Rattus norvegicus: one gene and its partners. The protein of the gene in region 1 purifies or fractionates together with the protein of each later gene. This does not show direct contact. Links are inferred from orthologs where the notes say so. Each region holds a gene or a part of one and is shown in the gene's direction. Other genes may lie near its edges.

Region 1 (5,890 bases):
CCTAACAGCCCCGTATCTACGACATCTTCATTTTTCGAGTTTTCTGTATGCAATTCTGTAAACACAAAGAGAGGTTTAGGTAGAAGAGTAGTGTTCCTTCCTGACATGAATATCCAAAGTCAGCAAAGATACTGTTCAGTTGTCAAAAGTACCCTGAAGTCAGAGCTAAGTTAAATTTCTGATTTACCACCTCAGTTACCTTCAAGCAACTACCTCTACAAGAGCCGATTTCCATAAACATGAGAATAGTCTCCTAGGTGTGTTGAAGACAATTTGTACAAAGAAACTTAAGGGCATAACAGAATTTGAATTCAGTTCTTTACTCAATTCTCCAAAATACCAATGTCCTCTGAAATGAACTTCTACTTATGGACATATAACTTTATTGTAAAAGAAAAATAAACTAAGTGCACAACAAATCTATCGTGGTTGAAGTGAGAGAAAAAAAAAAAACTGTTCAAGGGCCACCTGCAGCCCATTAGGGGGTGGGGAAAATGAGAGATTAAAGTTTAATTCGTAAAGGTAACAGGAGAATCACAAAGCGTTGAATCCTTTTAATACAAGATACTGCTTTCATGTTTCAGTTTCTCAAGAACTGGCAAAAGCAACACTAACTAAATTCAAATCTCTTTCCACTTCAAAAAATACTAAACCATACAACAAATCCCAATGGGGTAAAGGGAAGAGCGTCTTTCAGAACATTCCTACTTGGACAACATATGCCAATTTCTGACTAAGTAGTATATAGAACAGACTGTCCTGAAATAACTCTACTTGGTTACAAAGAAAAACCATTTGCCTATAAAAGTAGAAACCCGGGATGAGGGGGAGAAATCCTTGTCCTTCAATGTATCTAGGATCAGAGAAAAGCGTATACACAGCACGTCTCTAAACCTCAGCCTTAGAACATCAACAGCCTATTTTTGTTACATACACTTTTTGATCCTTTTAAAAGGGGCTCTGATTAACATAAGCCGTACTTATGTTTCAACTCAAGGATTCAATGCCTTTACAGCATTTAAGAGTGTGGATCTTTTCTACACTCATTATGGAGCAGGGTCGCCCATCTAAGGAGAGAAGACAAAGGGGGGGGGGGGGGACGACAAAGTACCGTAACAGTTTCGAGGGAAAGCTTTGGGAGGAAAGTGTGAATGGGGGCGTGTGATGTACTGGCTCGACTTTATGCTGGACAGCCTTTCAAGGCCTGGATCTCAGTACCTTTAACGATCAGGTAGGCGATGGCGAGGAGAAAAGCAAGGAGGACGGCGAACAGCAGCGAACAAAGAATGGAAAGGGCTTGGATGGGCCACCGCCGAGCCTGGGTTCGCTTGGCCGCAGTCGCCGGGAAGATGCCGTTGCGCTTATCCGGCAGGACCGGCGACCCGTCCCCGATCCGTGGGAGTAGCGGAGCCCTCTTGGACTCCGACGACGCCCTGGCCGAGAACTCTGCTCGCAAGTCGCGGGCCACTTGGTCGCATCCCTCGTCTCCGTCCTCACTCCAGCTATTCCCTTGAGTGTAGTCGGAATACACAGACCGAGTGACAGGGCCTGGGGTAACCTGACGGCGCCTACGCGGGCCTACAGACCTCCAACTCTCCACAAAGGACATGGCGGGAAAGACTGAGAGACCCGCGAAGGTCGAGCGTCCTCCACCGCCACGCCCCTCCCCGACAACAGCCAATCAGCGGCGGCCGTCGGCGGACCCAACCACCGAGCGCAGAGCGGTGGGGGGGTGCACCAGCGGGTTTCCAGGCAGCTCCGCTAGCGGATGTGCCGTGTGAGCGCGCGCCCGTGGCCCGCGGAGAAGCACTGCTTAATTTATTCGGCCCTTTCCGGTCCTATTGGCACGCACCGTCCAAGCCCCATAACCGCAGCTTCCCGCTCAGCTCCGCGGCTTCCTAACCGCCAATCGCTTCCTCCCTCGGGCGAGTGATCTCCGCCTCTACAACTCCCCGCCAACTACAGTACGCGCCTCCATCCTTCACTGGGGCGCGCGCAGCTCTGAAGCCCCGTACCCCCCAAACCCCCCACCGGCGAACCCCGGGCACGACCCCTCCCCACGCCAACCGCGCGCACGCGCGCACTAGGCCGCTAACGCCGGGTGCCGCTTACCCCGCCCCCACCCCACCCCTGGTGGCCTCAGGTTTGTGGGGCGAACGTAACTAGGGCGGGGGGGTGGCGAAGGTGGCACGACGCCATTGCCACACCCCCGGCGGGGTGCGGTGGCCCAAACCCGGGAATCTGGGTCCCCGCCGTGTCCCCTTTCCTGGGGGAAGTTGGTAGAGTTTCCCCGGCAGAGCACTCGACGCAGAAACTTCCTCCATCCCCCTCCCCCCTCTCCATGCAGGCGACGCCGAGTGAGGCTGGGGGCGAATCGCCGCAGAGCTGCGTGTCGGTATCGCGCTCTGATTGGACAGTAGGGAAGCCTGTCAGTTTATTGGCCCCGCTGATCCCGCCCCGCAGCTCAGGGCAGCCTTTACCCTTTGGCCCCAGCGGGCGCCAGCCACTCAGATCGCTTCTTGTTGGTATGTGTAGCGGCAGTGGCCGCCGACGGAGCAGTCTGAGCCCGACGATGAGGCCGGGGACTGGAGCCGAGCGTGGAGGCCTCATGGTGAGTGAAATGGAGAGCCAACCTCCCTCGCGGGGTCCCGGGGACGGGGAGCGGAGATTGTCCGGCTCAAACCTGTGCTCCAGTTCTTGGGTCTCTGCTGACGGCTTCCTGAGGAGACGGCCCTCGGTAAGGGATCGGCGGGGTAGGGGAAAGCGGCACAATGAAAAACCGAGTCAGAGAAACAGGAAGCTTTCTCCAAAAGGAGACGAGTATACCAGGAAGAGAGCTCCAGATGGTGGGCTACGTCCCAAGGGAGAGAAATAGAGGGCGGGAACGCACAAAGAAATATGTGGGACCTTGGACTTGCCAGTGGTCTTGGCCTAAGTAGATGCCTTAGGAAGGGAGGTGCTGGGCCCCGGGCGGACTGCACGTCTGAAAGCCCCAGGCTTGCTTTATGGTAGGGAGAGGCTGCTGCAGTTTATTTTCCTCCGGAGTAGTGGTGATTTGCACCGGTTGGGGGATTTGGTTGGGAGAATTGGCTGCGGATACTTAGTTTCAAGCCAGGAACAATGGAAGTACTATATTTTTAGCTCACTAAAATGGATGAATTTGTTATTTGCATTTAGTGTCTGGGACAGAATGACAGTCTTTGATATTTTAACTATATTAAGACATTCGTTCCTTAACGAAGTACTCTTGGGTACCCACTCTGTTTTATGATCAGACCTCGTCCAAATTAATGTAATTTTAAGTAGTATAAACAGAGTATATGTATAAAGGTGACAAGGTTGGGTTCACCGTAATAATTTTAAGTTAGAATTCAATACATAGACACCAAGTCTGGCCAGTCATTTGACAGTTGGCTAAGTCATCGGAGAGGGATTTTAATCCGCTATTGGGATTAACTTCCCCATATTTTGTAAATTTTGAGGTTCCTCATAATAACCACTGTAGTATATTTTAGATTAACGTTACTAGATGCTAATCCTGTAGTTTAATCACATTGACTTAGTTGACTTTCAGTTCAGTTGATGGGTTTTAGTCGTTGTTTTTGAAATGACAGTTTAAAGAAACATTGATTGTGTCTTACCTCTTACTTTTCATTGTTTTTCAGATGGGGCATCCTGGCATGCATTATGCACCAATGGGCATGCACCCTATGGGTCAGCGAGCAAACATGCCTCCTGTACCTCACGGAATGATGCCACAGATGATGCCTCCTATGGGAGGGCCTCCAATGGGACAAGTAAGAAGATGTTTTTTTACTTTGGCTTGCTTATTTTTGTTTGCTTGTCTCAAGATTTTAAGGTGTGAGTCAGTGTTGTACTTGCAGATGTTTAAAGGTTAGTTTATATCCATATAATGTGGTCAAACAAGACAAGCATTATGGTGATCATGTCTGTAACCAAATTTTGAATGGAGTAAGACTGTATTTTAAAAAATTAACTGATTTCCTCAACAAAGTTAAGATTTAAAATAATCTTTTAAGCCGGCGGTGGTGGCGCTCGCCTTTGATCCCAGCACTTGGGAGGCAGTGGCAGGTGGATCTCTGAGGTCAAGACTAGCCTGGGTCTATAGAATGAGTTCCAAGACAGAGAAACCCTATCTTGAGAATTAAGCAAACAATCTAAAGTGACAGTATAGAGCTAATCTATTTAACTTAGTGACTTCTTTCAGGCATTATAATTATTAATGGTCTAGAAGTAAATATCAGAAGACAGTCATGGTGAATGTGTAAAGCGTAGCATCAGAAAAATAATAGTTACTTGGGGTTTTCATTTAGAATGAATTTTATTCTTGTAGTATCTTCCTCTTGTTGGGAGTGTGGGGATTTTCTACTCTATTACCAATTCTTCCCTGGACCATGCCAAATAGGTATATACTCGTTTTCTACTTAATTTTTGAAATGATTATTGCTTCTACACTCCTACTTGTGCATTGTCCCTTGCATCTCTAGCACAGATTGTAAATGGACATTTTGTAGAAGTGATTGGATTAAAAGGTTTTGAGATGACTTCGTAACACTGGTAGTAGGATTTCTAGAGAAATGTTCAAGAAAGTCAAGAGCTTCAGTTCCATGAACAGTTGTGTCCTATGCTAGGTGCTATAATACACAGAGTCTTGGGTGGACTGGGTTATTCCAATTGAGTATCTTGATAAGTCATGAAATATTTTGGTTAGCAGATATTTTAGAAAGTCAGTTGTATATTTTCTTTTGCTAATGAGTACTATGGAGTTTGATAATGGTTTAAGCAATGAAGGCTAAAGTTATTGGTGAAATTGCAGCGGAAACAGGAGCTTGTTGTATTTTTCTTTTTATTTTACTTCTAAGAGTAGAATGGTTCAATGTTAAGTGGTTTTCTTTTATATTTGGAATATAGCCCTTAATTTTGTATAAAAAGTTTTATTCAAAGGCACCAGACTGAAAAGATTCTGCCTGCAGGAGTTCTTTATATAAAAGATTCTTTGCTCTGTTACTCTAGAATAACAATACTTTAAAGCTCCCTAGGAGATGCAGAGACAACTCTTGATTCTTCTTCTGTATCTTTCCATCTCTAAGCAGCACAAAACCCTTCTTGTTTTCTTGATAGAGCTGCTCTAACTAGATAATGAGCTTAAAAAATATTTATTCTTTAAATGCTCTGGTTCTTATTTAAAATTAGTTTCTTTCCACAGAAAGATAAAATAAAACAATTTGCTACTGCCAGATGCTTCTTTCTTTTCTGGGGCCTTCTGTTTCCATTGGGCCAGTCAAGGTAAGTTTTGCAAGGGGTTGACCTGCTTACCCTTGCTGTAATGGTGCTGTTGCACTAGCAGACCTGAGATGCCAGCTAGTCATTTTTAGTATAGTGCAGATTTTTTTTTTTTTTTAAGTAATTGGCATACACTGGTCACAGTTTGTTTTATGGCCCCTTCTCTTTGGCTGTGCCAGTGACCACTTTCCTAATAAGTTTACTTGCTACTTACACACTTCAGATATTCTGAATTTTGCTTCATGGTTTTCTACATTTTTTTTTTTAGTCCAGTACGTTCTATACACCATTAAATACACCCAATTATTTAAATGTTTAGCATCTTCCTCTGAGGATAATGAATGAATACTTTAGGAGACCAGATCTGAAAGTCTCAAGAAAGTTGCTGTTGTTCTCTCAAAATTAGATCATTATCCAGTGCCCCTTCCTAGCTAACAGCATGGGTTCTAGCTCATGGTAAAGCTAAGCTGAATCCTTGAGGACTCTAGGAATCTTTCTTAAAGCTCTGAACTTTCTCTTAAAGATGAACTGATTGTTTTTCCTGCATCATTTCTTCTGTTTGCATATACTCAGGATTATTAATAGT
Region 2 (6,109 bases), on another chromosome or scaffold:
TTATTAATATTTCAGACACTCAGGCCCTCTGAAAGAGCATTATGTACTTAGAACCAGTGATCTATCTTCACTTTAGTTTTTGAGGTGGGGTCTTCTCCGTGAACCTGGACTACCGGATTCAGCTGGGATGGCTGGCCAGTGGGTTTAGGGATCTGCCTGTTGCTGCCCCTCCAGCAGTCAGGGTTTAGATGCCTGTCACTTTGTCAGGCTTTTACATAAGTGCTGGGATTTAGAATCGGGTTCTAGCACCGCAGGAATTTTATGAGGTGAACCATCCCTCCAGCCCCACTAACTGTAACTTTTTGAAAATTACTTTTTTTTTTTTTTTTGGTTCTTTTTTTTCGGAGCTGGGGACTGAACCCAGGGCCTTGCGCTTCCTAGGCAAGTGCTCTACCACTGAGCTAAATCCCCAACCCCTGAAAATTACTCTTTACCACCTCCTAAATTTCTGTGGTTTCACCTCATTGGGCTGCACTGTGGGCGGAGAGGCAGAGAAGTGTCTGGAGTAGCAGCCTGGGAGCTTAGTGTTGACTGCCTGATGTGTCCCTGTCCCCACCCCCACCCCGCTGTGGCTGTCCCAAGGCTTCTCTGCACTGCAATTTCAAATCCCTCTGAATTGAATCCTCAAGCTGCAAGTCTCTTTAGGAGGGAGAGAGGCCTGTGTGGCTGAGTAATTAACCGCTTCTGTTTCTCCTACCTCCCACTCTGTAGGCCCAGAAAGATAGCGTAATGGTGGGGTTCATGACTGTCACCCACAGCTGGCTATCCCAAACACAAACCTTTCTATAAAATATACACTAGGAAGCCAGGCATGGTGGCACATGCCTATAATCCCATCACTCAGGAGGTAGAGGTAGGAGGATTAGGAGTTTAAGGTCATTCTCTGCTACAAAGCGAGGAGCAGGCCAGCCAGTGCTACACAGCAAGATTCTGTCTCCAAACAAGAGGGCTTGGGTAAAGCTCACTGGTAAAGGGTTTTGTTAGCATGCTCAAGTCTCTGGGTTCCATTGTCAATACAGCAAAAGGAGAACAAAAGGAAAGGAAGGGGAAAGGGAGGAAAGAAAATGCATTCTATTCTTTTAACCCAGTTTTGTTCTTACATTTGTACTGCACTCAATGGATGTTGCCGTTCTGAGGAATTCCATCTTGTTTGTCCCAGGGTGCAGGCCCATTTTAAGAAAAGCTTGAATGTGCTGCACCACTTGTGTTGGGTCTCATAAGCACACATAATTAGCACGTTTGTTCCTTACATTCTTCTTGGAGGTGTGTGTCACCTCTTTGTTCTGCTGAAGGAACTGACATTCCGTGCCATGCCCAAGGTAACCTAGTGTATTTGATTCTTGTATTCTTCTGCTTTAGAATGATTTGTCTTTCTCTGAAAGGATTTTTAGGAGTTCAGATATATGGTCTCAGATATATATTCCTGGTTCAGATCGGGAGATAGGTCTAGAAAGGACCCCGAGCTAGTTAAATATGACATAGGAGGAGACACAAAATCAGGACTCATGACAGACAAGAAGTGCCTTCTGAAAGTCTGATTGTTCAGACTTTCCTTTTTCCCAGCCAGATTCTTACTAGAAACATTTGCAAGAAATCATGCTTGTGAGTCTTGTGATGGATAGAGCTCCCAGAAGTGAGAAAATGGAGTCTACGCTCTGGTTGTGCCCTTTGGGTAGGTCACTGCAATCTTTGAGCACCCCCTTTCCATTTAAGATAGGGTCTTCTGTAGCTTAGGCTGGCCTCAAGCTAGCAAGTGCCCCTTGGTGCAATTGGAGGATAACCTTGAGCACCTAATCCTCCTGCTTCTATCTCCCAAGTGTGGGGAATACAATCATGTACCACCATTACCAGTTTAAATTTAGTCAGGTCTCACCTTGGATCCCTGGATGGCCTGGCACTCGGAGATGAGCCTGCCTCTGACTCCTGACTACTGGAATGACAGGCATGTAACCCTACACTGGGCCCTAGTTTAAATTTTTTGACTACATAAAATGGTTCAATTACTGGAAGACTTGACAGAGACAAAGTTTACTATGGAAATAACTTTGTAAACGCTCAGATTGCCGAGATGATATATTATAGTTCATTCTGGGCTCTGAAGTACAATTGCCTAGGCTTAGATCCAGGTAAATAACCTACCTTGAGAAAACCGTGCCTCAGTTCTCTCCTATGTAAAATGAAAATAATAATAAAAGAAAGTAATAATAAAATCTTATTCCTAGAACTGTAAGGGTTCAAGCCATGGAAGTATTCGGCACGCAGTAACTGCTCAGCGGTTCTTAGAAGTATAGTCCTTAAAGTGTAGGTATTTTGGAACCTCAGACGAAGCTCCACCTCCATTCCTGTTTCGTCCCGCCCCCTACCCCGCAAAATCCCGCCCCAAGCTGGCCCCAGGTTCTGAGGCCACCAAGGGGGCGCCAGAGATAAGGACGGCTCTCTGGTAGAAACGGACGACGCTCTAGGTGACAGAGGTGCTTCTCTGTGGTCATCAGCGACGGCGCTCTAGGCGGCCGGAGTGAGGGGCGGGCTTTCTGTGGTGCGGCCGGCTGGCAGCTATGGCGGCCGTTCGCGGCCTGCGAGTGTCTGTGAAAGCGGAGGCCCCCGCTGGGCCGGCTTTGGGGCTTCCGTCGCCCGAGGTGGAATCCGGTTTGGAGCGTGGCGAGCCGGAACCCATGGAGGTTGAAGAAGGCGAGCTGGAAATCGTGCCGGTGCGGCGCTCCCTAAAGGAACTGCTCCCGGTACGGGCGAGGGGCGGGGGCTGAGGAGGAGGTCGCCGAGCGAGTGTCCCTTGCGAGGCGGGGAGGCGGTGGACAGCGGCGCTGGCGCAAGTCCCGGAATGCGGCGAGGGGCGCGAGCGCCGAAAGGCGGGGGCCGCGCATGACCCGGAGAGCTCCGGAGAGAAAGGACGCCGGGGCGCCCGGAAATGGGTGCAGAGAACGCTGGAGGAGGCGGGGGTTCTCGGAGAGAGTTGGGGACACCCCTCTGACTGCCCCTCGGTGCGGGCCCGTGGCCCGGAACGAATGAACTGAGTTCGGCTGAAGATAAAAGGGAGTCGCGGGCGGGAACAGAACCGGATCAGTCCTGAAAGGAAGTGTTAGGTGCCGCGGGCGTCCAGGTCTCCTGGTGGGTCCTACCCCGGCGGAGTTGGTGTCACTTAAACATGACATTCGCTCTTCGGTTGGGAGGGCTAGACTTGTCAAACAGCAGACACTTGTGTGTTGGTATTGTGAATGAGTGTCCTCATGTCCCCGCGTGCCTTCACTGCGTCTACTTGGTGGTCCCAGCTTCTGACGCACGGTGACATTTGATCTTTCTTTAACCACAGTGGATATGAGGAGTGTTTTGTTTGTGGTTTGGTATCCACATGCCCGCTCCTAAGGCTGGTGTGAGGCCTGGGTAGCTTGATTTTCACACATTAACCCCCCCCCCCGTTTAATTATGCGATAGCAGGTCTTGGTTTTACGTTTGAAGTTATAGTGAAGGGTAAGGTAGTGGTGACAAATATCTTTGGTAACATCTATAGATTATACTGTGGTCGTGACTTTAATCAGTTTAACATGTATATATCACACATCTCTCTATGTGCTGGTGTAATTCCAGGTGCCGAAGAGCAAAACTCCCTCTTGGTGTTTGCCCTAGTAGGGGACACAAGTAAATAATTTCCTTTTGTGTTAAGTGCTACAGAGAAAACACATCCTGTTAATAGGATAAAGTACAGTGGCCAGGAGGGATGTGAAGCAGTTGGTATGTGTTGGGATGCACAGGGAAGTCCCCCGAAATAGATTCAGCTTTAACCCTAAATGACAAAAAGGGGCCAACCATGTTGGTTGGAAAGGGAGCAATTCCTAGCAGGGAGGACTGCAAGCACAAAAGTCTCGGACATGAAAACAAGATTGTTTTGTTGAAGAAATGTTGGGTTGTCTTCAGCACAAGAGGAGAGCAGAAGTCAGAAAGATGTTGTAGAGGAAAGCAGGGCCTAGAGATTGAATGCAGGGGCCAGGGTATTGGCTGCAGACCCGAGACTTCAGTCCTCATTCTAGTCACTTCCCCTCCTTTTTTTCATTGTATTAGGCTGTATTTTTCCCAGAGATCTAGGACTTGAAACATTTTTGTGGAGGCATTTGCTCCACCTAGTGGCCTTTCATAGAAAATTTGTCCTGTCTGGTTTGGGGAGTTAAGTGACTGTCTCATTTTTGACATTTTTCACAAAAGACTTTAGGCTTTCATTTATCTAGATGCCCTGAGTTGACAGAATTACTTAATGTTATGCACAGGCTCCTGCCTGGGGTCTGGAGAAGACTTCTTATTAGAATGGTTGCTTTCTACTGTGGAGCCTCAGAGATAGACTTCCTCCTAACAAGGGTTGTTAGAATGGAGAAGGGTTGCTAAAAAGAATGGCTTCAAAAAGGGCCAGCTGTCAGGCTGCCTTTTATGGTGGATTGTTCTGTCGGAGTTTCTCATTTTTCCTCTTCTGGTAGGACACAAGCAGAAGATATGAAAACAAGGCCGGCAGCTTCATCACTGGGATCGATGTCACCTCCAAGGTGAGACAGACGGTGATTATTCAGGTTGATAAGCAGATAGAATTAGTGAATGTGGTCTTTACCTTTTACACAATGGTAAATATTTTTGCCTCATTTTTTTCTTTTGTTGCTGATATGTATCTCATCTATCTATGATACACATATCTCATAATGTCAAATATCTACATCTGTCTGCCCAACGATGTCCTTATATATCCTGAGACCGTTCAGGCAGCATTTGTGTGTGCACATATCCATGAAAAGATAATCACTGAACTTAGTTGTCTGTGCTAACCATTTCCAAGAAAGAGTTTGCACTGGGAATGCTTATTTTAATATTTATTATTTAACATTCACTTGTTATGTAGGATGGATGTGTGTGTTTTGTGTCAAAGTGTGCATGCTGTAACACATGTGAAGTCAGAGAACAACATCAGGTGTTGGTTCTTACCTATCATCTTTTTTGTTTGTTTGTTTTTTGTTTTTGTTTTATTTGAGGCAAGATCTCTCTGCATAGCCTTGGCTGTCCTGGAACTCACTATGTAGACCAGGCTGGTCTCAAACCCACAGAGGTACACCTGCCTGTGCATTTCAGGTGCTAGGATCAAAAGCATATGCCACTACATCTGACTTTTTTTTTTTTTTGCTGGTAGTAGTATTATTGATAATATTTTTAAATTTGTGTATGAGCATTTGCCTGTATGTATTAAGTGTACCACATTCAGAACTAGGATGTGAGGAGCTCAGGAGAGGACTTCAGATCCGTTTGGACTGGAGTTTCAGATAGTTGGGAGCTGCCCTGTGGGTATTGGGAACCAAACCTGGATCTCTGTAAGAACAGACAGTGATTGTAACTGCTGAACTATCTCTCCATTCCCCCTCCTACCTTGTTTTTGAGGTGTTCTCTCATCTCTGTCTCCTGTCTCTAAGAATGTAGAAATTACAGACAAATGCTGCAGGGTCGGACTTTTACATGGTACTGGGAATCTCATTCAGGTTGTTAGGCTTACCTGGCAAGCACAACCACAGTCATGCTATGCCCCTGGCCTCGGGGATGCTTAAAGCCATTAATGTATATCTGTGGAAACACTGCTTTCCAACTTAGAAAAATGGTTAGAAGTTGTCTGCATGTCTAAGCTTTGAGGGCCATGCCGACTGATTATCCCCAGCATCTGACAATATTGTCTTTTGCTAAGTGATTGCGTTACCATTGTACCACCTCCATTATCATACCTCAGAGTGAAGCCTCTTAGTTCCCATGTGATAAATTGTCCATACGTTGCTTTAATTCAGTTCATTCAGACTTTTTCTTTCTTCATGATTTAAATGTGTGCTGTTCAGTTTAAAACAGAATTTTCCATTTCAATTGTACTTTTTATTCTGTGTATATATCAGTGTTTGCCTCTGTGTGTTATGTGCACCATGTGCCTGCCTGGTGCCTATGGAGGTCAGAAGAGGGCATCAGATCCCCTGGAACTGGAGTTACAGACAGTTGTGAGCTACACCATGTGGGTGCTGGAAACTGAACCCTGGTCCTCTGTAAGAGCCCGTGTGCTTTTAAGTGCTGAGCCATCTCTCCAGGCCCA
Region 3 (5,330 bases), on another chromosome or scaffold:
GTTTTGTCCTGCGGGAGGGGAGTTGGGGGTGGGGTGGGGGAGTGGTTACAGTCTTTCGTGGAGTCTTGGCTGGTCTTGTAGATTTCCCTTTGTCACTAAGGCCAGCCTTGAACTTACGCTTACTCTGCTCAAAGAGCCAGAGTTCTAGGTCTCTACCACTAACCCAGAAAACATCATATGTAATGCATTAGGTTAGCTTTAGCTTTAGCAAGAGGTAGCAGTAAGATGAAACCAGTGGAGAGCTGAGTCACAGAATGTCTGTTAAAGGATTTGGGATAAGGCAGTAAATGTCTGTGTTTGTCATTAAGAGGACAGGGTTGCATACACGACATGACTTAGCAGTGAAAAGTGATTGTTGCCAAGAAATCTGAGTTCTGGTCCTAGAATCCACAATGAAGGAGAGGATATGCTTTAGCATGTTGTCCTCTGATCTCTACATGCACAGTGATACATATACATCCTCATCTAAATAAACAAATGTAAAAATAAAGTGGTTTTTAAAGAGGATAGTGTTTGCTGGGGCTGAGCAGTGCGTCCTGCAGTGCTTGAGGCTAGGAGCTAGGGGTTGGCTCTGTACTTGCTGAGTACATATGAGTCACTTGAGCTCCTTGGAGTCAGTTCTCTTATGCAGAAAGTTTGTCATGCCCACCTTCAGAGCAGACCTAAGAAACACTGCCATATAGCCAGATGTCTCAGGAAGAACATTCTGACATTAAGTAGGAAAAGTAGAATTTACTAGATAACAGAAAGGTGATTCTTCAGTAATATTTGTCTACATGCCACTTGAGAAATGTTATTATCCAATAAACATTTACTTTAATGGGTACAGCTCAGTGGCACCCTTTTTGCAGATCATGTGCCAATTAGCATTTAATGAGAGCCTGGAGAGGATTTTATGACTTGCCATGGTGTTACAGATCGTCTTGCTTTGGAGGTCTGCCCTGCCCACCATCCTTTCAGACATATTTCTAACATTTGGCCCTCTGTGACAGGGTTCTTGGCTATGGGAAGGAACTAGGTAGCTTTGGTACTGTACCTTACAACCATGTTACCTATATCATGACAAATGTCAAATGTCTACAGGCATTTAGATTGATGTTCTTTTGTCCTGAGCTTTTTCTGTAGGCCTGACTGGACTCCCAACTCAGAGATCAGTTTGCCACTGCCTCTCAGTGCAGGGATAAAGGTGTGTGCCACCATGCCCAGCAATTGATGCTTTGGGTAAATACCAAAGATTGTTTCTATGTTTGTTTTTTAAAAAGGACCTTTAAAAAGACTTAATTTTTTTTATGTCTAGCAGACATAGTTAGTTGGACTAGGCAGAAGTTTCTGAACGCAGGAGGTTTCTATGTTGACCTCGCCAAAGGTGTGCAACAGTCTGGTCAGCATTGGTCTGTGGTATACCTCATCTGGGCCCTCACCTCTTGTCTTCTGTCAGTATACAGGGAACGTGTGGCGTTTGTGTATGGAAGATACTGAGAGTCTTCCTTCTACTCCTTGCTATTTTTCCATCACCATTCTCTGTCACCTTTCTTGTTCCTAGGACCCTCGAGATGCCCCTCCTCCAACAAGGGCAGAAACCCGGGAAGAACGCATGGAGAGAAAGGTATGTTGTTTTTACCTCTTAGTGTTTGTTGTTTTGTTTTTTTGTTTTTGTGTGGGTTTTTTGTTTGTTTGTTTGGTTTTGTGTTGTATTTTTTTAGCTACTTTTTTCCAAATGGTTCCTGACATCGAGGTACTTCTGGGTACACTCACTTTGCTTCTTTTTTCTACTGGCAGAGACGGGAAAAAATTGAACGGCGACAGCAGGAAGTGGAGACAGAGCTGAAAATGTGTAAGGTTCTCCTTCCTAGCAGTGTTCCCCTCCATTCTCATTTTGCTCCTCTTCCCAGGTCACATGTGTGTCTCTTCTGGGAGCTTGAGAAGCAGAGTTGGCTCACCTTCCTAGCAACCACTTGCCAGGCACTGCACTTGTATAAGGCTGTTGTGGGTTGTCCTGATGATTTTGATGTTAATTCAGTTTCCTCAAGAGGGGTGTCCCGTCCCCCACAAGCAGTTGATCACTCAGGTGATCTCGTGAACTTTCTCCCCATTTTAATTAGTCACCACTAAAGACAGTGGAAGGGAAAGGTGGGATGGGAGGTCTTAGTAGAGAGGAGAAGGGAAGAGAGAGGACTGAAGAAGAGGAAGAAGCCATGATGGAGCAGAACCACATGCCGAAAGTTGCAAAGAGTCTCATTGGGGAATAAATTAGTGAGGTGTTAGGTCTGCTCAATCTAGGCTTATAGCTTATAATTATTTATTGTAACTGGATTGTGTGTTTTTATATAGGCTTATTGGGGTTGAAAATTCCAACAGGCTTTTCTTCTTACATTACTTGTATGTTTTATTTTATTTTTTATAAGCATGGATTTTCTGCCTACCTGCATGTGGAAGATTAGAAGAGGGCATAGGATTTCCTGGAACTGTAGTTGGATAGTTAGGAGTTACTATGTGGCTGCTGGTGATCAAACTCCAGCCTTCTGGAAAGAGCAACCAGTGCTCTTAACTACTGAGACATCTCTCCATCTCCAGTCGGTTTATGCTTTTGACATGTAGGGAGACCTCAGTCATTTGCTTTCTTTCTTTCTCTTTTTTTTTTTTTTAAGATTTATTTATTTATTTTATGTACAGCATTCTGCCTGCATATGTGACTGCAGGCCAGAAGAGGGCACCAGATCTCATTACAGATGGTTGTGAGCCACCATGTGGTTGCTGGGAATTGAACTCATGACCTCTGGAAGAGCAGTCAGTGCTCTAACCACTGAGCCATCTCTCCAGCCCTATTTGCTTTCTTTTAAAGGAACCATGGCGTATGCCATTGTGTCTTCAGGTAAGGCATGGGGTGATCTGGCCATTTGATCCTGACCATATCTCCAGCTCCCTGAGCTTGGAATTGGAGATACTACACCCAGATAAGGAGGGATTAAGTAGTACTTGGTAATCAGACTCACAAAAGTGATCTTGGTATTCAGTAGGTAAAGACTCACCACAGGATGAGGTTTATCTCCATCTGTTGTCTGCAGCCTTGTTGAATCATTCTTTTCTAAACTATATTTTAGAACTTGTAGGTAGTTAGTACACATGATGAGTAAGTTAGTGCACAGAGCTCTAGCTCTTGTGTACCTGGTTCTATGTATTTTCTCAGACACCTCATACTTCATGTTCAAGCCACAGAAGCACCTCCTAATTCCTATGGATTTTTGCCTTCCCTAATAAATGGATTTTTAGCTATATAAGTTGTTTCCAGATGTTGCTACTCAGTTTGCCTTTAGCACCCATGTTACGGTTCTCTAAAGGAACAGCACTGATAGAAATGTGTGTGTCTGTGTCTTACAGGCTGTGGTCTGGCTAGTCAAACAATGACTTTTTTCAACAGAAAGGCTAAGAGTTTGTTCACTGGAAAGTCTGTGTTGGAATCCTGAAGAAGTAGCTCTGATACCAGTGAGAGAATGCTTTAGCAGCAGGAGGGATGACCCTGGCAGGGAGTCAGGGCAGGCAGGCAGAAAACTTTCTTCATTCATGGTTTTATGTAGGCTGCCAACAAAAGGTATGACCCAGATCTCAGTTGGCTTTTCTTACCTCAGATGACTGAATCCAGAAGCCCTCAAAGGCGTGCCCAGCTGCCTGGGTTTTAGTTGACTCCAGAGTCATGAAAGTTGTCAACTAAGATGAGCCATCCCAACACCATTTATAACTTCCCTAGCTTGTCATAAAGATCTGCCTTTGTTACTTGCTAAATGTCACAAAGTGAGACATTCCATGTCCAGGGTCCTCTTGGCTTAGACAGTGCTTTATTAGTGTGTCTTGTTCACTTGTCTCCCCAGCCCAAATTCTCTTAAAGGAGCTTTCCAAAGATAAGTACTCAATTCTTCCTCCTGCCCTCAGCATAATGCCAATCTCTTCCTGTAATCCATGTTTGCCTTGCATCAGTTGAAGAATGTGGGAGATTATGTAGAATAGACCCATGACCAGAAATCTAAAAAAAAAAAAAAAAAAAAAAAACCGACAAGGAGAAGTTGGGGGCAGGGAATAGGGGGACCATGGAATAAGAGGTCAAAAGACTCATCATCTGAGGTTGGTTTCCAGAGTAAAAACCAAAAAAGGGGGGGGAGATCAACTAAGCAAGACATTGAGCTTGACTGGATTGGGGTTTAAATGTGGTGTATACAGGTTTCATTCTGATATAGCCCCAGTCGAGGGATTGAAAATGAAGTTAGAAATTAGTCATTAACAATGATACTGTGGTTTCAGTTTATTGAAATGTATTTATTTCAATTGCATTGATGATCAACATAGTGTGCTCTGAGATGTGACTGAAATTCCAAAGTTGGGTTGGGGAATGTAGAGATCAATTAAGTTAGGCCCTGTGGTGGTAATTGAAGCAGGTTCATTGTACTGTCTAAAATAGAGCAGAGGATGGATCAGGTACGGTAGGGTATCTATCTATGCCCAGTAACTATAGAAGCTTCTATTAAAGGAGACTCTGTCCCTTTGCTGAGCACTTGATGTCCTTCATGTTATGAACTCATGGTGACTTGTACGTGCAGGAGGAATGATTATTCCCATTGCAAGATGAAAAACAAGTAGTATGTTGTGGAGTTGTAGAGTATCTTATAAAGAGGGGGCGTTTCAGGTTTCACAGCAACTAATGGAAAGCCTAGTGAAGTTTTCTAGCTGTAAGGCTTCCTGTAGTCTAGTTCTGTGTTAGGGTCCTGACAAGGGAGTCCTAAGAAGTTCAACCTTGACACATATGCACATTTAGGCACTGGCTGTCAAAGAGAAAGGAAAAGGGGACAAGAATCATCACTGATTCCTTTTCTTTTTTAAAAATAAAACTTTTTTAAAGATTTGCTTTATGTATGAGTGCACTGTAGCTGTCTTCAGACTCACCAGAAGAGGGCATCAGGTCTCATTACAGGTGGTTGTAAGCCACCATGTGGTTGCTGGGAATTGAACTCAGGACCTCTGGAAGAGCAGTCAGTGCTCTTAACCACTGAGCCATCTCACCAACCTGACTCCTTTTTTCTTTACTCCTCCCAATTTTCAGCACCCTAGGATTAACCCTGCCTAGGGACAGGTAGTGGGATGAGGTCAGCAATGTTGAGGGGCATCTCTTGAGTGGAGGTGCAGTTGAAAGCCTTAAGTTTTGAAGAGCCCTCTTTTGTTATGACCATGCCCTTTTTTTTTTTATTCATTTATTATATATAAGTACACTGTAGCTGTCCTCAGACACACCAGAAGAGTGCATCGGATCTCTTTACAGATGGTTGTGAGCCACCATGTGGTTG
Region 4 (6,007 bases), on another chromosome or scaffold:
ATAATGAGTTAAGTGCATGGAGATAGGAACTGGTTATTCTTAAATGGATAGACAGCTAGGGAGAGCTCTTGGGTAGGAACCATCAAACTAACCTGAGTGTCTCCACATTAGAGGGCTAACTCCCAAACTTGTGCCCCAAAGAAACTCCTTCATTACCCAGACCTTTTCTTCACTGGGTTAACTTCCTCCCAGGTCCCCTTGGGGGCCACAGATAACCCATTGTGTAGGCTTGGCAGGGTAAGAGGCTCATGACCTCTCACCGTTGTGGACCTCTGATAACAAAAGTGGTTTGTTTCTGAGGGATATTTTGCTACAGGGAGGGACTTCTGCAGGTTTCCCCAACCTGTGTTTCATCTAGTCAAGTCCTTACTGTCATTTTAGTCGGTCCAAGCAGCTAAAGGCATCTTACCAGATCTAATTCAAGGAGAAACAGCTGGCCTGGAGTAGCACACACCTTTAATCTTATCACTCAAGAGGCAGAGGCAAGCAAATCTCTGAGTCTGAGGCTAGCCTGGTTTACAGATCGAGTTCCAGGACAGCCAGAGATACACAGTCAGACACTATCAAGGAAACAAACAAACAAAAACAGAGCCAAATTTTGCTCCACACCTTATAAAAAAGCATGTAAACACAGACTACCTACGGGCTATGGTGCTTCCTCTCTGGTCACCCTTCCTTGTACCACAGCTGCAAGAAATCTCACATGTGATAAACTGCAGGTCTCCATCCTGTAATTCTCTTTTTAAAAATTTTATGTGTATGAGTATTTTGCCTGCATGTATGTATGTGCACCATGTGTGTGCCACAGAAGCCAGAGGGGTTGGGTCAGATTCCCTGAGGATTTGAACCATAGCTCATGGTTGTTAGTAATCATGTAGGTGCTGGAAAATGAACCTGGGTTCTCTTGCAAGAGCAGTCAGTGCTCTAAACTGCTGAGTCATCTCTAAAACCTCAAATTTGTTTTGCTTTTTCTTTTGAGACAGGGTTTCTCTGTGTAGCCCCGGCTGTCCTGGAACTTACTCTGTAGACCAGGCTGGCTCAAACTCAGAGATCCTCTGCTTTCAGAGTGTTGGGGTTAAAGGCATGTGCCACTAACCTACTGGCTGCAACTCTCTCCATGATGGAGAAACAGATTCATGGGAAGAGCTATCAGGCAACACCAGGATAGCCAAGACTACACAGAGAGACCCTGTCTCAAAACTTGGATACACCTTAGGCTTATTTTCTCTGAGTATGAGGCCATCCTTAAATTTGTAATTTAGGTCCCAGCCCTGGGTTACATTTAGAACAATTTAAACAGCGATAGAAAGCTGCAAATCTGGTCAATAGGTCACTCCTCTTTGCCTGATCACAGCAAAGTTATTGCAAGAATTATTTTAAGTACACCCATGCTGTTCTTTTTCAACTAGCCATTACCTGGGGTCATCTTGCCCACCGGACAGAATTATTTCTCGAGAAGAGAACTGGGCTTTATTGCAAATCAGGACTTAACACTGCTTGTGACCCTATCCCCCTTGAGCTGCCTGTTAGGAAAGTGTTCTATGGTGTGGGGGCAGGCCTAATGGCTGGTCAATACTGAACAAGCATTGCCATCTTAGGCATCGTAAACTTTAACAGGTCTGGGTATCATACTGTTTTTTGGGGGGTATTTTGAGGGCAGCATTCCTTTAGCTAAATTCTACTTTGTGTAATTTAATGTCTCGTAAGCAAACCTATTAGTAATTACTACATCAATTCTATTACTTTGAGTTTCTTTTACATCAAATCCTTTTAATAATGCACACCTGAAGGAAACATTGCTTGAAAAACTATCCATATTTCTCCATGCCTCATTGTGAGGCTATGCAGCAAGCTTTTTCTAGACAGTTTCTCTTTTTCTTTAAAATAATGTGTATGTATGTAGTGTTCATAGGTCCATCAGATACCTGGACTGGACTTAGTTTGTGAGGGGCCATGTGAGTGCTGGGAATTAAATCTGGGTTCTCTGGGAGAGCAACCGTTTCTTAACCTTTGGGTCATCTCTCCAACCTGTCCTAAAGTTTCCAATGGTGCCCTTTCTGTTTTCCACTGTCCTGAATCTGGGAGTTCTTTCTTTCTTTCCCTTTTTTTTTGAGACAATGTATCTATTTTTGAGCCAGGCTTCTGGGAACCAAGGCTAAGAGCCTAGTTTATTTCCAAATTCGTTATGTAGCAGAGGTTGACCTTGAACTCTGGATCTTCCTGTCTCACCTTTTGAGGGCTGGGTTATATACTTCATCTCCGGCCCCAGCATTTAACTCCCTTAGAATAATCTGTTCTTTTTCTTTTTTCTCTCTCCTTTCCCTTCCTTTCGTTTGCTTTTTTTGAGACAGGGTTTGTCTATGTAGCCCAGTCTTCCCTGGAACTCTCTTTGTAGATCAGGCGGGTCTCGAACTGCCTTTTGTCTTCCAAGAGCTTGAATTAATGGCTCTGAGAAGACGCGTTTCACTTGGAGAGCAGCCATTCTCTTCAGCCTCGCTCGCTGTTTAAGGAAGCCGCCGGGAGCCCGCCCTGGCCCCTCCCATTCCCATCATGCACCTCGCAATTTTATTTAGGTGGCAGTTGGACTACGTGCCACGGTGCGGCGCGCGTTCTCGTGTGCGCAGGCTCAGAGTGCGGCCTGCTTCTTGTGTTGGCGGAGGCGAGCGGAAGTCCTTGGGAGCGCCAGTTCCGTCTGTGTGTTCGAGTGGACAAAATGGCGAAGATCGCCAAGACTCACGAAGGTAAGCGGCCTTTCCCTTCCCACGCGCGACCTCGGCAGCCAGCCAGATGCGTCCCTCTCTCTTGGCTTTCGGCGTCTTCGCGAGGCATCTCTGGCCTGGGCCGAGTCAGCGCGGCGGGGCCTGCTCGGCTCTTCGGCGCAGGCCGCTACCCTCGTAATGGCGTCCTCTTGCACTCCGGGGCTGGTGCTTTGTTCCGCGCTGGATGTTGGTGCTTCGGACTTCTCTTGCTCTGGCCGGAGGGCCTCGCTCGAGCGGCTTGCTCTGGAGGACTCCGGGGGAGGGAGCAAGAGGCGGACATGGGAGGGACGTCTCTCTCGCTCCCTGGGCGCTGTCGTTGGCAGTTTGCACCTGGAAAGCCCTGAATGACGGCAGCCGCTTTCGGGCCGCTCTTAACGGAGTCCGTTTCAGCGGAGGCCTGTTACTTCAAACCTCCGTTGTATAGGTATCTCCAGGCGGCTGGGTTATGTTGTGGTGGTGCTTGCACGAAATGATTCCGGCATAAAATCTGGTAGTTTACTCCTTAAATCACTTTCAGCGTAGTGTTTCTCTTTTTCTTTGAGAGCTAAATGTTGGAGAACCAGGAGTAAGAAAGAAGGAAGGAAGGGCAGATTTGACCAGTTGCCAAAGTTTTCAGGGTAGTCGGTCATTTTATGCCCCACAAGAGTAAAACAGCTTGAAACATGTTGAAAAGCTACCGGATTCCATAAAGAAGGAACCAGAGAAGACGGGAAGGAATTGAGTGTGAGAGATTGAATCTCTCTTTCTTGGCTTCCGGTTTAGAAGCCAAAATTTACGCTGACAACATGGCTACTAAGTCACTAAACAAGTCCTTTCTAAGTGTGTGTCTTGGTGTTAGAGAGAGGTAACAAGCTAAGGATGTTAGAAATTTGACAGTTTGATGTGGAAAACAAACGTGAGTCTTTATTCTCTTAGAAAAGGAATGTGTACAGAGAAGTAAAGCCAATACTTTCTGAGAAGCTGGGTAACGGAGCCATTAATTTATGCATAGTTATTTTTGGGAGGTGGTGACGTGGTGCTGATAAAAAAGGATCAATCAGTTTTAAATTAGAGGAGGATGTCTGAGCCCGAGGGAACATCTTGTAAGAACACTCGTGACTCGTAAGTGACTCGTTGTTGTGGTGGACTAGGGTGTAAGGAGGGAATTCCGATACGATTCTAGAGAGATGGTTTAGGACCAAAAGGTGATTGTTGGGACATTGGAGGAACTGAAAGTATCAACACTTTTGAAAGCCAGAAATGTTAACGCCTTAGTCTTTTGTTTTTAAACTGAAAGTACAACACATGTTTTTGTTTTCTTTTTTTCTTTTCTGAGATTACATAGTGATCCCTGTTGCCCTGAAACTTCCTATGTAGACAAGAATAGGCCCTAGTCTACAAGGTTAAAAGGCCCGAGTGTGCTATGTCTGGCTAGTCCAAGACTTTTTTTTTTTTTTTTTTATTAACTTGAGTATTTCTTATTTACATTTCGAGTGTTATTCCCTTTCCCGGTTTCCGGGCAAACATCCCCCTAACCCCTCCCCCTCCCCTTCTTTATGTTTTTTTTTTTTTTTTTTTTTTTTCCTGGAGCTGGGGACCGAACCCAAGGTCTTGCGCTTGCTAAGCGCTCTACCACTGAGCTAAATCCCCAACCCCGGTTTTTTTTTTTTTTTTAAATTGCAATCTCTCTCTCTCTTTCTTTAAAGAATGATTTATTTCATGTATGTGCGAACACTGTCGCTAGGTTATTTCATTCTGGGGAACCAGTGAGTTTTTTGGGCTTACAGAGCCTGGTATGAGGGGAAGTGTTTACTGACAGAAGCATGGTTTACTGCATGCTGGCATCTCCATAGCTGCATAGGTAGAGTTTCATGCCCTGATAGGTTATTTATTTATGGATATTTTGTAGCTTTGATTGTTGGCTTATTGATATCTTCAATGTAACATACTCCCTGTTAGAAAATGTAAAGTTTATTTTATGTGCAGTAGTGTTTTTCCTACATATATGTCTGTGAGGGTGTCAGATTCCCTGGAAGTGGAGTAAAAGACAGTTGGAAGCTTCCACATGGGTGCTGGGAACTGAACCCAGGTCCTCTGGAAGAGCAGCCACTGCTCTTAGCTGCAGAGCCATTTTTCTAGCGCTGGTAAATGTAAAGTTTAGGGATGAATTTATTTATTTTCTTTCTTTCTTTCTTTCTTTCTTTCTTTCTTTCTTTCTTTCTTTCTTTCTTTCTTTCTTTCTTGTTTTTTTCATTGTAGAAGTCCAGCAAACTTGTTGGTCAGTTGTAGGTCATTGGCAGAAATTGCTAATTAGGATTATTTTATCGTTGAATTAATTAGTATTGTACAAGTGCTGTTTGAATGCAGGGTGCTGTATGTCACTATTAGGTATAAGTCAGATGCTAACACCACCCCCCCACCCCCCAAAGACAGGGTTTCCCTGTATAGACCTGGCTGGACCTAGCTGACCTGGAATTCTGTACACGGGGCTGGGCCTTGAACACAGATTAATCTGTGTTTCTTAAGTACTGGGATTAAAATTCTCGCATCACCACCGCCCATCTCATAACTTTTTAGTAGAACTGTATATAGCATTTTCATGGCCTCTTGCTCTCTTAATGACGTTTTCCTGGAGAATATAGTGTTTTACAACTGTCATTTAAGTCACTGTAACATGGAGCAAAATTCGTTTTCCTGAGGGGTGTGGCCCTCAGTATAAGTCTTCATTGTCTTAGTCTTTTTGTTTTTTTTTTTTTGTTGGTAGGTTTGTTTGTTTTGTGGCTTTGCCTTGGAATTTGCTCTGTATATCAGGCTGGCCTCGAACTTTCTGTTTTTTGAGACAGTTTCTCCATGTAGTTTCTGCTGTCCTGAAACTCTGGGTAGGCTATGCTGGCTTTGGATTGGCTTGCCTCTATCCCCCAAGTGCTGGGATCAGACTTATGCACCACCATGCTTGTTTAAAGTAGGGCTTTTGAAAATTTTTTATATTTATATTTGCTTTGTGCAAATATCAGGACAACTTGGAAGAGTTGTTCACTCCTTCCACGATGAAGGTTCTGGGATGTCAGGTTTGGCAGGAAGTGAGTTCACACCTTTAATCAGAGTAATCTCATTAAAGCTTTCTCTACCATTGGTGTGCACAGGAATTATATGTGCCTTGATAGCTCCAGCACCTGGTCTATAATATGTATCCAAGTGTTAAATCAACATTTATTTGATAGATTAACATGTATTAGATTTATTTTACTACTTTTGGAGAAAGGGTCTTT

Evidence for each region.
Region 2: the proteins of Prpf40a (region 1) and Ncbp3 purify together in Homo sapiens (affinity purification with mass spectrometry; 3 studies listed by BioGRID and IntAct, counting the BioPlex papers as one, with this or other methods). This does not show direct contact. The link is inferred for Rattus norvegicus from reciprocal best matches to the Homo sapiens genes PRPF40A and NCBP3.
Region 3: the proteins of Prpf40a (region 1) and Snrnp70 fractionate together in Homo sapiens (co-fractionation; 3 studies listed by BioGRID, with this or other methods). This does not show direct contact. The link is inferred for Rattus norvegicus from reciprocal best matches to the Homo sapiens genes PRPF40A and SNRNP70.
Region 4: the proteins of Prpf40a (region 1) and Sf3b1 purify together in Homo sapiens (co-immunoprecipitation; 3 studies listed by BioGRID and IntAct, with this or other methods). This does not show direct contact. The link is inferred for Rattus norvegicus from reciprocal best matches to the Homo sapiens genes PRPF40A and SF3B1.

The regions. Positions count from the first base shown.
Region 1 is NC_086021.1:58,095,192-58,101,081, reverse strand, and holds the start of Prpf40a (pre-mRNA-processing factor 40 homolog A), read left to right. Parts: upstream 1-2,572; coding exon 2,573-2,737; intron 2,738-3,664; exon of another isoform or gene 3,665-3,665; coding exon 3,666-3,797; intron 3,798-5,227; exon of another isoform or gene 5,228-5,259; coding exon of another isoform or gene 5,260-5,307; intron 5,308-5,890. Other genes in the region: Arl6ip6 (ADP-ribosylation factor-like protein 6-interacting protein 6), read right to left, coding at 2-55, 1,219-1,609.
Region 2 is NC_086028.1:58,161,708-58,167,816, forward strand, and holds the start of Ncbp3 (nuclear cap-binding protein subunit 3), read left to right. Parts: upstream 1-2,533; 5' UTR 2,534-2,555; coding exon 2,556-2,738; intron 2,739-2,840; exon of another isoform or gene 2,841-3,123; intron 3,124-4,478; coding exon 4,479-4,544; intron 4,545-6,109. UniProt on the Homo sapiens protein: Associates with NCBP1/CBP80 to form an alternative cap-binding complex (CBC) which plays a key role in mRNA export. NCBP3 serves as adapter protein linking the capped RNAs (m7GpppG-capped RNA) to NCBP1/CBP80.
Region 3 is NC_086019.1:105,005,740-105,011,069, reverse strand, and holds part of Snrnp70 (U1 small nuclear ribonucleoprotein 70 kDa), read left to right. Parts: intron 1-1,543; coding exon 1,544-1,606; intron 1,607-1,779; coding exon 1,780-1,834; intron 1,835-5,330. UniProt on the Homo sapiens protein: Component of the spliceosomal U1 snRNP, which is essential for recognition of the pre-mRNA 5' splice-site and the subsequent assembly of the spliceosome. SNRNP70 binds to the loop I region of U1-snRNA.
Region 4 is NC_086027.1:64,023,297-64,029,303, reverse strand, and holds the start of Sf3b1 (splicing factor 3B subunit 1), read left to right. Parts: upstream 1-2,584; 5' UTR 2,585-2,713; coding exon 2,714-2,741; intron 2,742-6,007. UniProt on the Homo sapiens protein: Component of the 17S U2 SnRNP complex of the spliceosome, a large ribonucleoprotein complex that removes introns from transcribed pre-mRNAs.